Linked DNA regions of Anolis sagrei. The protein of the gene in region 1 purifies or fractionates together with the protein of each later gene. This does not show direct contact. Links are inferred from orthologs where the notes say so. Each region holds a gene or a part of one and is shown in the gene's direction. Other genes may lie near its edges.

Evidence for each region. The genes of interacting proteins can lie anywhere in the genome.
Region 2: the proteins of CDCA5 (region 1) and PDS5B purify together in Homo sapiens (affinity purification with western blotting; 4 studies listed by BioGRID and IntAct, with this or other methods). This does not show direct contact. The link is inferred for Anolis sagrei from reciprocal best matches to the Homo sapiens genes CDCA5 and PDS5B.

What each region holds. Positions count from the first base shown.
Region 1 is NC_090032.1:22,244,613-22,255,061, reverse strand, and holds the start of CDCA5 (sororin), read left to right. Parts: upstream 1-5,828; 5' UTR 5,829-5,878; coding exon 5,879-5,939; intron 5,940-6,775; coding exon 6,776-6,894; intron 6,895-8,233; coding exon 8,234-8,305; intron 8,306-8,468; coding exon 8,469-8,507; intron 8,508-10,449. Other genes in the region: ZFPL1 (zinc finger protein-like 1), read right to left, coding at 1,183-1,376, 3,051-3,162, 4,200-4,301. UniProt on the Homo sapiens protein: Regulator of sister chromatid cohesion in mitosis stabilizing cohesin complex association with chromatin. May antagonize the action of WAPL which stimulates cohesin dissociation from chromatin.
Region 2 is NC_090023.1:33,550,473-33,561,052, forward strand, and holds the start of PDS5B (sister chromatid cohesion protein PDS5 homolog B), read left to right. Parts: upstream 1-6,686; 5' UTR 6,687-6,801; intron 6,802-10,580. UniProt on the Homo sapiens protein: Regulator of sister chromatid cohesion in mitosis which may stabilize cohesin complex association with chromatin. May couple sister chromatid cohesion during mitosis to DNA replication.

The sequences.
Region 1 (10,449 bases):
TAATAATAATACATTTTAGTACTAATAATAGATAGATAACCACTTTGAGTCTCCTTGTGGAGAGAAAAAGCAGGGTATACATAATAATAATAATAATAATAATAATAATAATAATAATAATAATAATAATAATAATAATCTAATACTAATAATAGATACATAGCAGTTTTGAATCTCCTTGTGGAAATGGAATACGCATATAATAATAATAATCATCATCATCATCATCATCACCCAGCATAGTGATCTTGTTTGCTGTGTACTAATGTTGTTGTGTTTCAAATAATAATAATAATAATAATAATAATACATTCTAATACAAATAATAGTTGCTTAAACACTTTTTAGTCTCCTTGTGGAGAGAAAAAGTAGGATATAATAATAATAATAATAATAATAATAATAGTGCATAAACACTTTTGAGTTTCCTTGTGAAGAGAAAAGCGGAGTATAAATAAACATAATAATAATGTATTCTAATACTTGTAATAAATACATAAATAAAGATAATAATAATAATAATAATAGGTGCATAAACACTTTTGAGTCTCCTTGTGGAGAGAAAAGCGGAGTATACATAAACATAATAATAATAATGCATTTGAATACTAAAAATAAATACATAAACACACATAAAAATACATTCTAATATGAATAATCAATACATAGCCACTTTGAGTCTCCTTGTGAAGAGAAAAAGCAGGATATAAATAAACATAAACATAAACATAATAATAATAATAAAAGGTGCATAAACACTTTTGAGTCTCCTTGTGGAGAGAAAAGCGGAGTATAAATAAACGTAATAATAATGTATTCTAATACTAGTAATAAATACATAAATAAACATAATAAACATAATAATAATAAGTGGATAAACACTTTTGAGTCTCCTTGTGGAGAAAAGCAGAGTATACATAAACATAAAAATAATAACGTATTCTAATACTAGTAATAAATACATAAATACACATCATCATCATCATCATCATCATCATCATAATAGGTGTATAAATACTTTGGAGTCTCCTTGTGGAGAGAAAAGCGTATACATAAACATAATAATAATAATAATAATAATAGTAATAATAGTAATAATAATGCATTCTAACACTAGTAATGAATACATAAATAAGCAACCATAATAGATATTGATAGTGCTAGTTCTGTTCCTGCTCTCACCAGGGGGAGTCCCAGGCCGGGGCGGGCCCAGTTGACGGAGGCCAGCTTGTGGGTCAGGGCTGCGGCCACGGGGCTGACCAGGTTGGCGGGCGGGAAGAGGGGTCCCTGGCAACCGGGGCACTGGAAGCCGGCCGGGGCCGTGTTCTTCGGCAGGTGGGCCACCATCTCGTTCAGGCACGACCAGTGGAAGAGGTCTGCAGGAGGGAGAGGAAGAAGAGGGACCCCCGTGAGGAAAGAGCCAAAGGACATGGACCCACGGAAAGGCGGCCCAGCTCGCCCTCCTCACCCCAAAGGGGACTCAGAGCGGCTTACAAGGGAAAAGTAAATACAATGTTTTATATTATTACCAGAGCACAATATTAATATTATATATTACACGAGCTGTACCCGCCACACTTTGCTGTGGCCAATCTTCCCTCCCTCTTTCTCTCCTTCCTTCGCTCCCTCCTTTCTTCCTTCTTCTCCTTTCCTTTCCTTCTCTCCTTCCTTCCTTCTCTACCTCTTTCCTTCCTTTGCTTTTTGCTTCCATCCTTCCTTCTCTTTCTTTCTCTCCAGCTTTCTCGCCTTCTTTCCCTCCTTCCTTCGCTCCCTCGTTCCTTCCTTCCTTTCTCTCCTTCCTTCCTTTTCTAGCTTTCTTTCCTTCCCCCTTTTCTTATCCTTCCCCTTTCTCTCCTTTCTTCCTTCGTTCCCTCTTTCCTTCCTTCCTTCGCTCTTTGCTTTCATCCTTCCTTCTCTTTCTTTCCTTCTCTCCTGCTTTCTCTTCTTTTTTCCCTCCTTCCTTGGCTCCCTCTTTCCTTCCTTTTTTTCCCTTTCTTTTTCTCCTTCCTTCACTCCCTCTTTCCTTCCTTTTTTTTCTTTCCCTCCTTCCTTCTCTACCTCTTTCCTGCTTTCCTTCTCTCTTTCCTTTCTTTCCCTCCCTCTTTCTCTTCTTTTTTTCTTTCCTTCCTTTTCTAGCTTTCTTTCCTTCCCCTTTCTCTCCTTTCTTCCTTCTGTCTCTTTCCTTCCCTCCTTCGCTCTTTGCTTTCATCCTTCCTTCTCTCTTTCTTTCCTTCTCTCCCGCTTTCTCTTCTTTCCCTCCTTCCTTCGCTCTCTCTCTTTCCTTCCTTTTTTTCTTTCTTTCCCTCCTTCCTTCTCTACATCTTTCCTTCTTTCCTTCTCTCTTTCCTTCTTTCTTTCCCTCCCTCTTTCTCTTCTTTCTTTCTCTCCTTCCTTCCCTCCCTCTTCCCTTTTTTCTGTACTGTCATTTAGTTTTTTGGGGTTTTAAAGTCCTTTTCCACTGACTGATGGTCACTCGTTGGTCTCTTAGGGATATAGTGTCCAAATTTTGTGTCCATTCATCCAGTGGTTTTTGAGTTATGTCAATCCCACAAACGAACACTGCATTTTTATTTATATAGATTGTACTATAACAATATACTGTAATATTATTAGTAATATTACATTCAATATAAAATATATAATCATAATATCATATTATTAGTAGTAGTAGTACTATATTGTATTACATTATAATATTATCAATATTATAAGTATAAACAATATATTATTTTCCCACAAACAAACATTGCATTTTTATTTATATAGATAGAATACTATAACAATATAGTGTAATATTATTAAGAATATTCCATTTAATATAAAATATATAATTATAATATATTATTAGTAGTAGTACTATATTGTATTGCATTATAATATTATCAACATTATATTATATTATAAGCACAGTGCAGGAGTCAAGATGGCCCCTCTCTTTGGTTCTGGAGGGGGGAGGCTCCCAACTGATGACACCCGGACCTTTGGGGTGACCCCCCCCCCCCCGGACCGGACCTAGCTCAAGCACAGTGGCACGAAACGCAAGAGCTGACCATAGCAGACGAGGCGGACGGTCTCTTTGGTGGAGAGAAGGGTGTTGCAGAGCCGACAGTTGGGGTTGTAGTCGCTATCCTGGAGCCACTGCAAGTAAGACTGGACAATGCACTGCAACGCAAGGGAGGGAGGAAAAAGAAAAGCACCATTATAATAATAATAATAATTATAATTATCATCATCATCATCATCATCATCATCATATAATCATAAGCCTCTATTACACTGTTCAACAGAGAAAAAGTTTTGGGCCTGAAAATAGTTGTTCTTATATGATTTTGGGGTGCTGAAAACAAAAATGACATTTAAAAATGTATATTGGCTCTAGTTTTTATGAAATAAGCAATCACGTGACCACGTATGGTTGAAAAAATGCATGTTGCGACTTACACTATGGAAGATTCTAGAATACTCTAGAAAGTTTGATGACACAGTATGAGTGCCGTGTGCAAAAGCCAGAAAGCCCTCTATAAGGCCAGACTTTTGAACAGTGAGGGTCAGTCAGTTGAAGACTGAGACAGTATTGTTAAACATCGTTTTCCATTGTTCTTTTCACTGTCGTTATGCCTCGCATGTGTGTAAATAAAGCCCTATGGAAAAAAGACATCAAGGCCAATGGACTCCGTCAATGCTGTCAGACTCCTGCTGGAGCATTGCAAGAGGGAATCCTCTCCTTGACTACAAAAGAAAAGTCAAGAGAAGCAAACAGGATAGAAACTAAAGTCACGATTAAAGCGACATTTCAACTTTCAGACTTTTCAACTGCATTAGGCCTACTAATAGAGTTCCTTGCTGCACAAACATAAACAATAGACTAATTAAATAAATATTTCTCATGTATAAACTATTGGCAATATAATTGGACTAAAATTTAGTAAACATTCACGTTTTATATACATGCAGTAAGGTTAGGCGCAGTATCATAATATTAACGAATTACCTATTGAGGAGAAAATTGAAATAGCTGTTGCATAAAAACCAGAGCCAATGAACACATTTAATTATTATATTTGAATTCAGCATGTTAAATTAATTAAGAAACGGCACATTTCGTTTCCTTAACTAAGAAAAACTGAAAATTTGTAGAACAGTGTTATTAGAGGCATTCCCCTTGGTGCACTCAGCAGCAGCAACAACAGCAACTTTACCTTGTTGTGATTGGCGACAATGCAGTGCTCGCAGACGTTGACGCGGTGCTCGAAGCAGAAGAGGTTGGTCACCTTCCGCTTGGGGCATTTGCACAGCCCCATGGCAGAGCCTGCAGCAGGAGAAAGAAAAAAGGAATCAATTATATCTATATATATATATACATACATACATATATATACATACACACACACATCCGTCAGTGTTCTGTGTATTTTGATATGTGCATTTTGTAGGAATACATTTTAATATTTGCATTTTAATATAATAATATTTTTAGCTATTGAGCCATAAGGGGTAATAGCTATAATTATTCATATAATAATAATAATATGCACGTGTGAATTTAAGCCAAAGAGCCGGTGTTGTCCGTACATACTATCAAAGTCATGTGGCCACTGGCATGACTGTATGGACTGCTGTTACCTTCCTGCCGGAGCGGAACCTACTGTTCTACTCGCATTTGCATGTTTTCAAACTGCTAGGTTGGCAGAAGCTGGGGCTAACAGCAGGAGCTCACCACACTACCCGGATTTGAACCACTGACCTTTTGGTCAGCAAGTTCAGCAGATCTATATAGGAGTAACATCAATAATATATACATTAATATATATTATATATTATATATACATATTAACAACAATAATATACTAATACTCTCTGATGAGCCACTGCCATGATTCCACATCAAGGGACTATTGGCATTTAAAGCGGTATCAACCCGCATTAACTCCCCGGTGTGTCTTATTTTCCCAGGCCTCCCCCTCCTCACCTTCCTCTTCAGCCTCCTTCCGCCTTCTGCCACGTCTCTTCCGGGAAAGTCGCGCGCCGATGGCGTCACAACCCAGCCGTCGCTTCAGGAAAAAAGGAAACTAAGGAGGTCTAGTCTCGCGAGATGTCGAGACCTCCCGCGGGATTCAGTCTGCCTCTCCTAAAATGGCGCCGGGTGGTTTGTGTATTAGTAGCTGAATGGGAAAAGAGAAGCGACAACCAACTCTCGCGGGATGTTGAGACTTCTCGCGGGATTTGGTTTGCCTCTCTTAAAATGGCGTCGGGTGGTTTGTGCATTAGTAGCTGAATGGGAAAAAAGAAGCGACAACCAACCCAACTCTCGCGGGATGTGGGGACTTCTCGCGGGATTTGGTTTGCCTCTCCTAAAATGGCGCCGGGTAGTTTGTGTATTAGTAGCTTAAATGGGAAAAGAGAAGCGACATCCAACTCTCGCGGGATGGTTAGACTTCTCACGGGATTTGGTTTGCCTCTCCTAAAATGGCGCCGGGTGTTTTTTGTATTAAAAGAGAAGCGACATCCAACTCTCGCGGGATGTGGAGACTTCTCGCGGGATTTGGTTTGCCTCTCCAAAAATGGCGCCGGGTGTTTTTTTTGTATTAAAAGAGAAGCGACGACCAACTCTCGCGGGATGTGGAGACTTCTCGCGGGATTTGGTTTGCCTCTCCTAAAATGGCGTCGGGTGTTTTTTGTATTAAAAGGGAAGCGACGGCCAACTCTCGCGGGATGCTGAGATTTCTCGCGGGATTTGGTTTGCCTCTCCTAAAATGGCGCCGGCTCTGACTATTGTTTTCCTTCTCTTCCACTGTGGTGACGTCACTTCCTGCGTGGAGGTGGCGGGCGATTTCAAAGCCGGAAGAGAGAAGGAAGGAAGGAAGGAAAGCAGGAGGCGATGGCGGGAGGAGGCCGCGGCCTGCCAAGGCGGGCTCGCTCCGCAGGAGAGGCCCGGGCAGGTAGGCCGCAAGCCTGGGAAACAGTATTATCCACTTGGGCCTTGTCTCCAGGTGTTTTGGACTACAAATCCCACAATTCCTCACAGTCTCAGGCCCTGAAAGGGCCTGAGGCTGTGAGGAATTGTGAGATTTGTAGTCCAAAACACCTGGAGACAAGGCCCAAGTTGATCCATGGCTACTCCAGCAGCACTCCGTCCTGACATTTCTCCCACATCTCAGAAGGTTGTGGTTGTTGGCCACCCTGATGAGCACCAAATGGCCTTGCAGCTTCAAAGCCTGGCTGCTTCCTGCCTGAGGGACATCCTAGATATATTTATACCTGTGGAATGATGTCCAGGGTAGGAGAAAGAACTCTTGTCTGCTGGAGGCAAGTCTGAATGTTGTCGTTGGCCAGCTTGATGAGCACTGAATGGCCTTGCAGCTTCAAAGCCTGGCTGCTTCCTGCCATGAGGGAATCATAGATAGGTTTATACCTGTGGAATGATGTCCATGGTGGGAGAAAGAACTCTTGGCTGCTGGAGGCAAGTCTGAATATTGTCATTGGCCAGCTTGATTAACATCGAATGGACTTGCAGCTTCAAAGCCTGGCTGCTTCCTGCCTGAGGGAATCCTAGATATATTTATACCTGTGGAATGATACCCAGGGTGGGAGAAAGAACTCTTGTGTGCTGGAGGCAAGTGTGAATGTTGTCGTTGGCCAGCTTGATTAGCACTAAATGGCCTTGCAGCTTCAAAGCCTGGCTGCTTCCTGCCTTGGAGGGTGGAGGGGGGGGTCCCATTTTCCAGCCTGGAGTTCCCCTGCTGTCTAGTCTTAACCCTCTTCCTTTTTGTTTCAGGCGTCGTTTCCTCTCCTCCAAGGCGAAGGTCCGAACGCACGGCAGCGGCTTCCACGGCGGCTCTGTCTTTATCCGAAAGGAAGGCATGTTTGCGGCCCGGCGGGGCAGACGTCGGTTCGGTGCGTAATGTAAATACCTGTGGAATCTTCAAGCTGGAAGGGACCCCCATCCAGTCCAACCATCTAAGATAGACATCCTAGAGTTTTGGGGAGGCTTCTAAGAGAGATATACATAGATAGATATAGGATTCTAAAGTTGGAAGGGGCACCCAAGGGCCATCCAGTCCAACCCTCTAAGAAATAGGTAGATACATACATACATACATACATACATGGATTGATTGATTGATTCCTAGTGTGGGAAGGGACCCCAAAGGCTATCTAAGAAATAGATAAATAGATACATAGATAGATAGATAGATAGATAGATAGATAGAGATTCATTGGATGGATGAATATGATATAGATTAGATAGATGGACAGACATAATAATAATAATAATAATATAATAATAATAATAAGATAGAGATACATTGGATGGATAGATATGGTATAGATTAGATAGACATAATAATAATAATAATAATAATAAGCTAGAGATTCATTGGATGGATAGATATGATATAGATTAGATAGATAGACATAATAATAATAATGGTAGAGATTCATTGGATGGATAGATATGGTATAGATTAGATAGACATAATAATAATAATAATAATAATAATAATAATAATAATAATAATAATAGAGATTCATTGGATGGATAGATAAGATATAGATTATATAGACAGACATAATAATAATAATAAGGTAGGTAGAGATTCATTGGATGGATAAATATAATATAGATGAGATAGATAGACAGAAATAATAATAATAATATAATAATAATAAGATAGAGATTCATTGGATGGATAGATAAGATATAGATTAGATAGATAGACATAATAATAATAATATAGATAGAGATTCATTGGATGGATAGATATGGTATAGATTAGATAGACATAATAATAATAATAATAATAATAATAAATGGATAGAGATAATATAGATTAGATAGATAGACATAATAATAATCTTTATTTAATACCCCACCACCATCTCCCCAATGGGGACTCGGGGCGGCTTACATGAGGCCAAGCCCAACAGCATATTACAATAAAATAAAACCAAAACACAATAAAATATATACAACGTATGAGTTTAAAAAAAAGCAATAAAGCAAAATAATACACAATAAAATAAAATAACAATGAGCGGACCGCATGTGCAAGACATGGATTGATAGGTGGAGAAACTGAAAGGTAGATAGATAAAATCCTAGTTGGAAGGGACCCCCAAAGGCCATCCAGTCCAACCCTCTAGGACATAGATAGATAGATAGATAGAGATATTGTTTCATTATCCAGAATACATAGCAGCTCACTTTGGAGTTTTTGCAATTTCCCGGCAGCCGCCTGCACCGCTCCAGGCGAAGAAGCCCATCATCACTCTGAGGAAGATTGTGCCGCGATCGAACCGGCAGGTCAGTCAGGCTTTATCAATTTGGCTTTATCAATTCCTATCATCTTTATCTATTATCTCTACCTGTCAATCTGTCCTATCTATCATCTCCACCTGTCAATTATCTATATCTATCTATCGCTCTATCTGTCTGTCTCATTTTGGCCTTTCTTTTTTTGCTCCAGGTCAAAGAGACGGCCATCACGCCCCGACGGAGCCCAAGGGTCAGTCATTATTATCAGAATTAGTATTATTATTGCTATTAATGTTTATTTCTACCTTGCTTTTTCTCTCCACGTAAGAGACTCAAAGCAACCATGTGTTATTTTTAGTATTAGATATTATTATGATATTTATTTATTTATCCCCTGCTTTTTCTCTCCACAAATGAGACTCAAAGCAGCTATGCATCTATTATCAGCATTACAATGTATTATTATTATTATTATTATATTACTATTGGTATAATAAATATTATGTTTATTTATAGTCAAACCCACTATGTACACTATATACCAATAATAATAATAATAATAATAATAATAATAGTAATAGTAGTAATAATAATAATAGGGTTGTTGTGGGTTTTCTGGGCTGTCTGGCCATGTTCCAGAAGCATTCTCTCCTGACGTTTCACCCACATCTATGGCAGGTATCCTCAGAGTTTGTGAGGTCTGTTGGAAACTAGGAAAATTTGTTGTTGTTATGTTTATGTATACTCCACAAGGAGATTCAAAGTGTCTATGTATCTATTATTTGTATGAGAATGCATCATTATTGTTATTGTTGTAATTATTTTTATTATTATGTCTATTCCACAAGGAGACTCAAAGTGTCTATGTATTTATTATTTGTATGAGAATGCATTATTATTATTATTATTATTATCATCATCATCATCATCATCATTATATATTCCACAAGGAGACTCAAAGCGTCTATCTATTATTTGTATGAGGATGCATTATTATTATTATTATTGTAATTGTTATTATTATTATTATATACTCCACAAGGAGATACAAAGTGTCTCTGTATCTATTATTTGTATGAGAATGCATTATTATTATTATTATTATTATTATTATGTATATTCCACAAGGAGACTCATAGCGTCTATGTATCTATTATTTGTATGAGGATGCATTATTATTATTATTATTGTAATTGTTATTATTATTATTATATACTCCACAAGGAGATACAAAGTGTCTCTGTATCTATTATTTCTATGAGAATGCGTTATTATTATTATTATTATTATTATTATTATGTATATTCCACAAGGAGACTCAGTCTATGTATCTATTATTTCTATGAGAATGCATCATTATTATTATTATTATTATTATTATTATGTATATTCCACAAGGAGACTCAAAGCGTCTATGTATCTATTATTTGTATGAGGATGCATTATTATTATTATTGTAATTGTTATTATTATTATTATATACTCCACAAGGAGATACAAAGTGTCTCTGTATCTATTATTTCTATGAGAATGCGTTATTATTATTATTATTATTATTATTATTATTATGTATATTCCACAAGGAGACTCAAAGCGTCTATGTATCTATTATTTCTATGAGAATGCATCATCATTATTATTATTATTATTATTATTATTATTATTATTATGTATATTATTATGTATATTATGTATATTCGACAAGGAGACTCAAAGCATCTATGTATCTATTATTTCTATGAGAATGCGTTATTATTATTATTATTATTATTATTATTATTATTATTATTATGTATATTCCACAAGGAGACTCAAAGCGTCTATGTATCTATTATTTCTATGAGAATGCATCATCATTATTATTATTATTATTATTATTATTATTATTATTATGTATATTATTATGTATATTATGTATATTCGACAAGGAGACTCAAAGCATCTATGTATCTATTATTTCTATGAGAATGCGTTATTATTATTATTATTATTATTATGTATATTCTACAAGGAGACTCAAAGTGTATCTGTATTTGTATAATAATGCATTATTATTATTATTATGTATATTCCACAAGGAGACTCAAAGTGTCTATGTATCATTTGTATGAGAATGCATCATCATTATTATTATTATTATTATTATTATTATTATTATTATGTCTATTCCACAAGGAGACTCGAAGTGTCTG
Region 2 (10,580 bases), on another chromosome or scaffold:
CCTTCCGGCCAACGTTCCCTCTGTGGAAACCATGCCCACTCCAAGCCCCGCCGCACCGCTTCCCGCACACACACACACCCTGCCGCACACACACACGCAACCCCACGCTCCATCACTCCCCCCACCGCCGCGCACACACACACGCAACCCCATGCTCCATCACTCCCCCCACCGCCGCACACACACGCAACTCCACTCCCCCCGCCGCCGCACACACACACGCAACCCCACTCCCCCCGCCGCCGCACACAAACATGCAACCCCAGGCTCCATCACTCCCCCCGCCGCCGCACACACACACGCAACCCCACGCTCCATCACTCCCCTGCCCCAATCTTACCTCCTTTTACTTCACGCCACCTCCAAACCCCACCCCGCCCCTTCCCGCCCTGTCAAAATCTAGGAAAGACAGGAAGGAAGGAAAGAAGGAAGAAAGAGAAAGGGAGGTAAAGAAAAAGGGGGAAGGAAGGAAAGTTAGAGGAAGAAGAAAAGGAAAGAAAAGGAAAGATGGAAGGAAAGAAAAGAGAGACAGCAGAAGAGAAAGAAAAAGGGGGAAGGAAGGAAAGAGGTAGAGAAGGAAGAGGAGAAGGAAAGATGGGAAGGAAGGAAGGAAGGAAGGAAGGAAAGAAGGAAGGAAGGAAGGAGGGAGGGAGGGAGGGAGGGAGGGAAAGAAGGAGAGAAAGAGGGAAGATTGGCCACAGCAACATGTGGCGGGTAAAGGTTGTTATTTCTGTTATTATGATGATGCTATTGTTCCTATGAGACCCTTTTAGAGGGAATGGGAGAGGTGTCGGGTCCCGGAGGCAATGCATTGCATTATTGTTATTGTTATGATGGTGGTGAAATAAAAGGAAATAAAAAGTGAAAGAAGGAAGCAAACAGGGAGGGAAGAAAGGCAAAGGAAGAAAGGGGGAGGGAATGAAGGAAAGAGAGAAGAATGAAACCAAGTAGTGAAAGAAGGAAAGAAAGAAAGAGGTAGAGAAGGAAGAAAGGAGAGAAAGGGGGAGGAAAAGGGGGAAGGAATAGGTAGGTACCTCTCTTTCGTAATAGTCCAGATATCTACCTCAACTTTGATAAGTTTTACTATAGGCCAAAGCAACGCGTGGCAGGGCACAGCTAGTTATATATATATATATAGATGATTTTCTTTACCAACAAAATAAGTTCAGTATGTTTTTCCACTTAAACTGAGGCTGAGATTCGGCCACTCTCATGGAAACGGAGACTTAAGAGATGCAGATCAATTTATTTCTCAGTGTCAGTCAGGCATGTAGCCGGGGGGGGGGGGGGGGGGGTCGGGGGCTTCATCCCCCCCCCCCCCCCGAAATTCTCATGGTGGTTCGCGAAAAGGCCTTACTGGTGAATTATTTAAACTGTTATGTTTATTCATATCATGATCTGATCACCATACTCAATATATCCCATATGCATGGGGGTATTGGGGTAATGATACAAAAGGTTTGCTAGGCTAGACCCTCTTTCACTCAGACTCAGCCCCCCCCCGAAACTCAGCCCCCCCGAAACCCCCCTGAAAAAAATTCAGCCCCCCCCCCCCCGAAACGAAATCCTGGCTACGGGCCTGGTGTCAGTAGCCAAGCCCTTGATTGTCTGGAAACAACACCTTTGTCTTTTGGGTCTTGCACCATTGTCTCACAGAGAACTGGACACTTAAGTTAATTAGAAAAACATCAGCATATCTACACCATTGTTTCCTCATGGACCTCCCAAAGGATGCCTATGAAATTGATTGGTTCTGTGAACTAACCAACTGCCAGCTACTGTTCTCCCACCATGGGAATGTCCTCCTGCAGGCTGTGAATCCCCAGCCAATCCATGCACGGATCCTAGTCAGCCTCTTTTTCAGCCAATCAGGGGAGGGAGTGGGAAACCAGAACTGTATAAGATGTCCTGCATTTCTCTGTATGTTTATGCTTGCTCCTTCAGAAGCAAATTGCATGTACTTCAATCCTTTCTGACCAAATTGTAATAAACCTCTGACTGGTTTACTGTGAGTTTTCCAGGCTGTATGACCACATTCTAGAAGCATTCTCTCCTGATGTTTTGCCCACATCTATGGCAGGCATCCTCTGAGGTTGAGATGTCTGTTGGAAACTAGGCAAGTGAGATTTATATTTCTGTGGAATGTTCATGGTGGGAATTGACCCTGGATTGATGAATATGATTGTTTGATTAGCTGGCTTTGAATCTATGCACAATAGTCATCTAATGTTTACATATATTGTTTTAAAGTTGTTTTAAAGTGTTACTTGCTTTAAATTCTTGTTGTTGTTTGGGGATGGAATAATGCCAATTATGTAAGACGCCGAGTCCGCTTCGGGTGAGAAGAGCGGGATATAAATGTAAATAAATAAATAAACTTTCTTAATTCTATAGTGTAGATTACATTGGTCAAACTCATGTCTTGCGAGTTTGATGAACTTTACCATCCATGGGCAAACTTCAGCCCTCTGAGTGTTTTGGACAGCAACTGCCACAATTCCTAACTGCCGGTAGGCTGTTAGGAATTGTGAGAGTTGCAGTCCAAAACACCCAGAAGACAGAAGTTTGCCCATGCCTGGTTTAGCCCTATTCCAAGGGCTTTTACCCTGCGCTTCCTCTCCCAACCTGCAGGGTCAGAGGGCCAAAGTTTGCCCATGCTTGATTCCAAACCTGTGGGCCGCAAGACCTAAAATAAGGTCCATAACTCTCGATTACTAAATATGGTTTTCTGTGGGTGAGCAGATGGCGACTATTGGGTGGTATATGTTTAACTAGAGCTGATGTGGACTGTTATGAGTCGTAATTTAATATCTGATATGCAGGACAAAGTTGAAGTACTTTGGCCATATCACGAGGAGACAGGAAAGCTTAGAGAAGACAATTATGCTGGGGAAAATTGAAGGAAAAAGGAAGAGAGGCTGACCAAGGGCAAGATGGATGAATGGCATCATTGAATGGCTGACTGGCACAACCTGGGGATCACAACCAGATACAGTGAAGACATCTGCTCTTGCGCTGTGCTACTCTGCTGCTGAGTATGCATGCCTAGTGTGGCGGGGCTCAGGTTGCATTGCAGCAGGTGGTCTGTGGTTTGCTCTTCTCCACACTCGCATGTGGTGGATTCCACTTTGTAGCCCCATTTCTTGAGGTTGGCTCTGCATCTCGTGGTGCCAGAGCGCAGTCTGTTCAGCAGTCTGTTCTTCCTCAGAGCTCGGGATGCCTGTCTGTTCTTGAGATGAAAAGCACATGTCTGTGTTTTAGATGGGTTAGGGATCAACTGGTTTTCCCTGTAATAGGCAGTAAGAGCATCTAGAGCAGGGGTCAGGAACCTTCGGCCCTCCAGGTGTGGTGGACTTCAACTCCCACAATTCCTTGAGGCTCGGCATTCGCCCCAAAGGCTTACCTTGGCCTCAAGGAATTGTGGGAGTTGAAGTCCACCACACCTGGAGGGCCGAAGGTTCCCCATGCCTGATCTAGAGCTTTGGAGAGCTTCTGTTCAACCATCTCAAAGCTCCCTGCTTGAGCGGTAATGGCACAATCATCTGCATAGATTAAACTCTCTGTCCCTTCTGGCAGTGGCTGGTCATTTGTGTAGATGTTGAACATGGATGGAGCAAGCACTCTTCCCTGAGGCAGGCCGTTCTTCTGTTTCCACCATCTGCTTCTCTGGCCCTGGAACTCAACAAAAAAGCTCCTGTTTTGTAGCAGGTTTCCTATGAAGCGGGTGAGATGGTAGTCCTTTGTGATATTATACATTTTTCTCAGGAGGAGGCGGTGGTTTACAGTATCATAAGCCACTGACAGGTCTATAAAGACAGCTCCTGTGATCTGCTGCCTTTCAAAGCTGTCGCTTACAAATAAGAGGTCTGGGTTATAACCTCGGTGCCATCTCCTGCTGTTGTAGGATGGTGGGAGCTTGCTATCATGGATGAGTGATAGTTTGTGCAGTTCAGACCAGGACAGGACAGCCTCTCCATTTCTGTCCTCTTGAGCATAGCCCCATACATGACTATGGCTGTTAAAGTCACCAATTACTACCGCCCTTTGGTGCCTGTCAAAGTTCTTGGGGGAGGAGAAGCAGAACTCTTCATTTGGGGGGTTGTACACAGAGGTGATGTTATTAAACTTTACTGTTATAACCTCGACATTGTTTTCTTCAGTATTGTGGGCACTGCTGACTTGGAGGCCTGGTTTTATAAAGACAGCGCTTCTATACTGCGCATGTGGTCTTTCTGCTACTAAGACCATTCCTGGAACTTTTGGTCATTTCTGTTGTTAATTCCTGTGTGTTTCTTGGACACACAGCACATCACATTTCTTATCTTGGCACAGTTTATAGAGCAGTTGTTCTTTGGCAGCTGACATGTTGATTGAGATTATTGTTATGGTTGGTCCTGAAAAGGTCCGTTGGTTGTTTTGCTTGCTTGTTTGCTTCTATGTCCCACCTCGGAGCTTAAGATCTTCTGGGGAGGCCCTGCTCTCGGCCCCACCTTTATCACAATTGAGGCTGGTGGGGAAGAGGGACAGAGCCTTCTCAGTGGTGGCCCCTCGCCTGTGGAATTCACTCCCCGGGGAAATTAGGTCATCAACATCCCCTCTTTCCTTCAGAAGGAAGTTGAAAACATGGATATGGGACCAGGCCTTTGGGTAATCCGACAGACTGAGAAGGTAATGACGACCAGAGTTTGGAAAGGACTATGATAATGCTGAATGGACTTACGGATTTTTAGAACTCAGTGAATGTTAGCCACTAGATTGGCTTTACTTTTAGTTGTTATTGTATTAATTGATTGTTTTTAACTATTTGTGATTACTGCTGCTATGTTGAATTGTTGGCATCGAATTGTGCTGGTTGTAAGCCGCCCTGAGTCCCCCCTAGGGGGTTGAGGGGGGGGTTGAAGTACTCGAAATAAATAAAAAATAAAATTTGCTTGCTTGTTTGCATGCTGCAAGTCGCTTCTGGTCGCTTCTGGAGTGAGAGAATCAGCTGTCTACGAGGACGTTGCCCAGGGGATGCCCGGATGTCTTGCAATCCTGCGAGAAGGCTTCTGTCATGTTCCCCCCCTCCCCCCAAGCTGAGAAATGCTGGTTTAGTGAAGACATCTGTCCTTGCGCTGTGCTACCCTGCTGCTGAGTATGCATGCCCAGTGTGGAACACATCTCACCACACTAAAACAGTGGATGTGGCTCTTAATGAGACATGCCGCATTATCATGGGGTGTCTGCTCCCTACACCACTGGAGAAATTACACTGTCTAGCCAGTATCGCACCACCTGACATCCGCTGGGAAGTGGCAGCCAATAGTGAAAGTACCAAGGCAGAGACATCTCCAGCTCATCCCTTGTTTGGGTATCAGCCAGCACGTCAACGACTTAAATCCAGACATAGTTTTCTAAGATCTACAGAGACACTCGCTGGAACACCTCAGCAAGCGAGAGTCCAAAAGTGGCAGGCTTAAACCCAGAACCTCAACCAATGGCTGATACCAAATGAGAAACTCCCCCCTGGGCACACAGAGGACTGGGCGACTTGGAAGGCGCTGAACAGACTGCGTTCTGGCACCACGAGATGCAGAGCCAACCTTCAGAAATGGGGCTACAAAGTGGAATCCTTGACATGCGAGTGCGGAGAGGAGCAAACCACTGACCACCTGCTGCAATGCAACCTGAGCCCTGCCACATGAACAATGGAGGACCTTCTTGCAGCAACACCAGAAGCACTCCAAGTGGGCAGATATTTATTTATTATTTATTTGCTTTATTTCTATACCGCATTTTTCAGCCTAATTAGGCGACTCAATGCGGTTTATACAATACGGGTTATCACAACAATAAAGCGATTAAAACACATCATATACAGCAGACAAAATCAAACAATCAACATCATATCATAACGCCTCATTAACAAATCAGAATCCGTTCTCATAATCCTTGTACCATTTCCTATGTTCAATTTTACTGTCTTCCTGTGTTCAGTTGCACTGCTTAGCCAAACACTTGTTCGTAGAGCCAGGTCTTAACCTTCCTCCGGAACGCCAGCAGCGAAGGGGCCTGTCTGATGTCTACAGGTAAGGCATTCCATAGCCGAGGGGCCACCACCGAGAAGGCCCTGTCTCTCGTCCCCGCCAACCGTGCCTGTGACGCAGGCGGGACCGAGAGCAGGGCCTCCCTGGACGATCTTAATGTCCTGGTCGGTTCATAGGTGGAGATGCGTTCGGAGAGGTAAGTAGGGCCAGAACCGTTTAAGGCTTTATAGGCTAACGCCAGCACCTTGATACTGGTCAAAGGGCATTTAATCAACTACCAAACTCACACATTTTGTATTTTCTCTGTTTGTTTGCTTTGTTCTGTCAGAAATGTAACATAATTGACTGGCTGCCCTGACATGAGAAATAAATAAGCCCCATTCCAAGGGCTTTCGCAATGTGCTTCCTCTTCCAACCTGCAGGGGGATCGGAGGGCCGAAGTTTGCCCATGCCTGGTTGAGCTTTCGCCCTGCGCTTCCTCTCCCAACCTGCAGGGGCCGCTGCTGCCTCACTTTGGCGCCGGCCTCTCCGCTCAGCGGCGGGGTCCCTCGGAAAGAGACGAGTTGGCGCCATTTTGAAGCCGCCGAAGGGGAGGTGGGAGGGGGAGTTGCGGAAGGGGAGGGAGGGAGGGGGCCCACGGCGGGCGCTGATTGGCTGCGGCGGGCGCGAGCGACGGCTGTGGTGTCCGAGCGCGGCGGGCGAGAGAGAGAGAGCGAGGGCGAGAGAGGAGGCTCTGCCTTGTCTCGGCTCCAGCCCCACCGCCACGGCTTTCCAGGTAAGGGACAGAAAAAGGCCCTTTTTTCGCCGCCTCGGGCTCCCGACGAGGAGCCTGTTTGGCGCCTCTTCTCCGTCTCCTTCCCCGCCTCACGCCGCCATCCTTCCTTCCTTCTTTCCTTCCTTCGCCTCAGCCGTTCCTCGCATATTGAACTTGCCGCCCTTTTCCTGCCTGCCTGGCTTGCGGGCTTTTCTGGGCCTCTTTCCGCCTCCCCGCCCCGTTCAGCCCAATCTAGACCTTTCTCCCGCTTCCCTCAGGGCCCCCGTCTGCACTCAGCATTCAATGCGGGTCGAAACCGAGGGGGGAATGCCCACAAAAGCGCGCAAAAGGACGCCCTCAACGTGCGCCTCCCCGAGGGCCGCAAATGGGTTCCTATGGATGTCCTCTTGTCAATCGCCTGCACTTTCTTCTGTACCGGTTTGAAACTGCGTTCCATGCTCGGTGTAGATGGCCCCTCCAATGTGGCACTAGGATACTTTCCCACCTTTTCTCCCCACTTCCAAGACTCTTCTTCTGAGCTTTGCTTTCTCCTCTTCGGCCTAGTCGTCCTTCTAGCGAGGAAGGGGCTTCCAAATGCCTCCTACTTTCTCCATTCTCCGAGGAAGTTCCTTGTCTGTGTGTCTGTGTCTCGCTAGCCGTCTCCAATATAAACAGACCCAAACTGTGCTGGTTTTAGTATAAATCTACAGCAGGCATGGGCCAACTTGGGCCCTCCAGGTGTTTTGGACTTCAGTTCCCACCATTCCTAACAACCTCAGGACCCTTAATTGGCTGAGGGAGGGGGGAGAGCCTGTTAGGAATGGTGGGAGTTGGAGTCCAAAACACCTGGTGGTCCCAAGTTGGCCCATACCTGCATTATACACCTTTAACTTGCCTGTCCTAAGATGTGTCAGTGCCTTGCTAGCCATCTCCAATATAAACAGATCCAAACTCTGCTGGTTTTAGTATAAATCTACAGAAGGCATGGGCCAACTTGGGCCCTCCATTCCAGGTGTTTTGGACTCAATTCCCACCATTCCTGACAGCCTCAGGCCCCTTAAGCGGCTGGGTGAAAGGGGGAGAAGGAGCCTGTTAGGAATGGTGGGAGTTGGAGTCCAAAACACCTGGTGGTCCCAAGTTGGTCCATGCCTGCATTATACACTTTTAACTTGCCTGTCCTAAGATGTGCCAATGTCTCGCTAGCCATCTCCAATATAAACAGATCCAAACTGTGCTGGTTTTACTATAAATCTACAGCAGGCATGGGTCAACTTGGGCCCTCCAAGTGTTTTGGACTTCAATTCCCACCATCCTTAACAGCCTCAGGCCCCTTAAGCGGCTGGGGGAAAGGGGGAGAAGGAACCTGTTAGGAATGGTGGGAGTTGGAGTCCAAAACACCTGGTGGTCCCAAGTTGGCCCATGCCTGCATTATACACTTTTAACTTGCCTGTCCTAAGATGTGTCAATGTCTCGCTAGCCATCTCCAATATAAACAGATCTAAACTGTGCTGGTTTTAGTATAAATCTACAGCAGGCATGGGTCAACTTGGGCCCTCCAAGTGTTTTGGACTTCAATTCCCACCATCCCTAACAGCCTCAGGCCCCTTAAGCGGCTGGGGGAAAGGGGGAGAAGGAGCCTGTTAGGAATGGTGGGAGTTGGAGTCCAAAACACCTGGTGGTCCCAAGTTGGCCCATGCCTGCATTATACACTTTCAACTTGCCTATCCTAAAATGTGTCAATGTCTCGCTAGCCATCTCCTATAGGTGTGTTGCTTTTAGTATGTATTCTATCCTGGGAAATTGATGCATCTACATTGTAAAGTTAATTCAGTTTGACACCTCCTTTAGCTTCCATGGGCCAGTTCTGTAGAATTATAGAGGTTCCAAGTTGGTCCATGCCTGCATTATACACTCTTAAAGTGCCTGTCCTAAGATGTGTCTATGTCTCACTAGCCATCTCCAATAGGTGTGCTGGTTTTAGTATGTATTCTACCCCGGGGAATCGATGCATCTACATTGTAAAGTTAATCCAGTTTGACACCTTCTTTAGCTTCCATGGGTCAGTTCTATGGAATTATGGGAAGGTCTTTAGCCTTTTCTGCCAAAGTGGGCTGGTGCCATGCCAAACTGCAACTCCCAGGATTCCCTAGCATTGGGCTATGGCAGTTGAAGAGGTGTCAAACAATTCTGATTCTTACCTGTCCTAAGATGTGCCTTCCTCCAATCTCTGAGGCAGTTCTTTGCCTGTGTGTATATGTCTTGCTCATGGTTTCCAGTATAGCAGATCCAAACTCTGTTGGTTTTAGTGTAGATCCTACCCTGGGAAATCAATGCATCTACATTGTAAAGTTAATCCAGTTTGACACCCTCTTTAGCTTCCATGGGTCAGTTCTATGGAATTATGGGAAGGTCTTTAGACTTTTGTGCCAAAGGGGGCTGGTGCCATGCCAAACTACAATTCTCAGGATTCCCTAGCATTGGCCCATGGCAGTGAAAGAGGTGCCAAACAATTCTAATTCTTACCTGTCCTAAAATGTTTCTTCCTCCAATCTCCAAAGATGTTCCCTGCCTGTGTGTATATGTCTCACTCAAGGTTTCCAATATAGCAGATCCAAACTCTGTTGGTTTTAGTATAGATCCTACCCTGGGAAATCGATGCATCTATATTGTAAAGTTAATCCAGTTTGACAGCCCCTTTAGCTTCCATGGGTCAATTCTATAGAATTATGGGAAGGTCTTTAGCCTCTTCTGCCAAAGGGGGCTAGTGCCATCCCAACCTATAACTCCCAAGATTTCCTAGCAATGGGCCATGGCAGTTAAAGAGGTGTCAAACAATTCTAATTCTTACCTGTCCTAAGATGTGCCTTTCTCCAATCTCTGAGGCAGTTCTTTGCCTGTGTGTATATGTCTCGCTCACTGTTTCCTATATAGCAGATCCAAACTCAGCTGGTTTTTGTATAGATCTACATCAGGTATGAGCAAACTTCAGCCCTCCAGGTATTTTGGACTTTAATTCCCACCATTCCTAACAGCCTCAGGCCCCTTAATCGGCTGAGCGGGAAAAAGGAGTAGCCTGAGGTTATTAGGAATGGTGGGAATTGGAGTCCAAAGCACCTGGAGGTCCCAAGTTGGTCCATGCCTGCATTATACACTCTTAACTTGCCTGTCCTAAAATGTGTCAATGTCTCGCTAGCCATCTCCTATAGGTGTGCTGGTTTTAGTATGTATTCTAACCCGAGAAATCGATGCATCTACATTGTAAAGTTAATCCAGTTTGACACTCACTTTAGCTTCCATGGGTCAGTTCTACGGAATTATGCAAAGGTCTTTAGCCTTTTGTGCCAAAGGGGGCTAGTGCCATGCCAACTTATAACTCCCAAGATTTCCTAGCAATGGGCAATGGCAGTTAAAGAGGTGTCAAACAATTCTAATTCTTACCTGTCCTAAGATGTGCCTTCCTCCAACCTCTGAGGCAGTTCTTTGCCTGTGTGTATATGTCTCGCTCACTGTTTCCAATATAGCAGATCCAAACTGCACTGGTTTTAGTATAGATCTATACCAGGTATAAGCAAACTTCAGTCCTCCAGGTGCCTTGGACTTTAATTCCCACTATTCCTACAAGCCTCAGGCCCTTAAGCGCCTGAGGGGGAAAAGAAGGAGCCTGAGGCTGTTACGAATGGTGGGAGTTGGAGTCCAAAACACCTGGAGGTCCCAGGTTGGTCCATGCCTGCATTATACACTCTTAACGTGCCTGTCGTAAGATGTGTCTATGTCTCACTACCCATCTCCAATAGATGTGC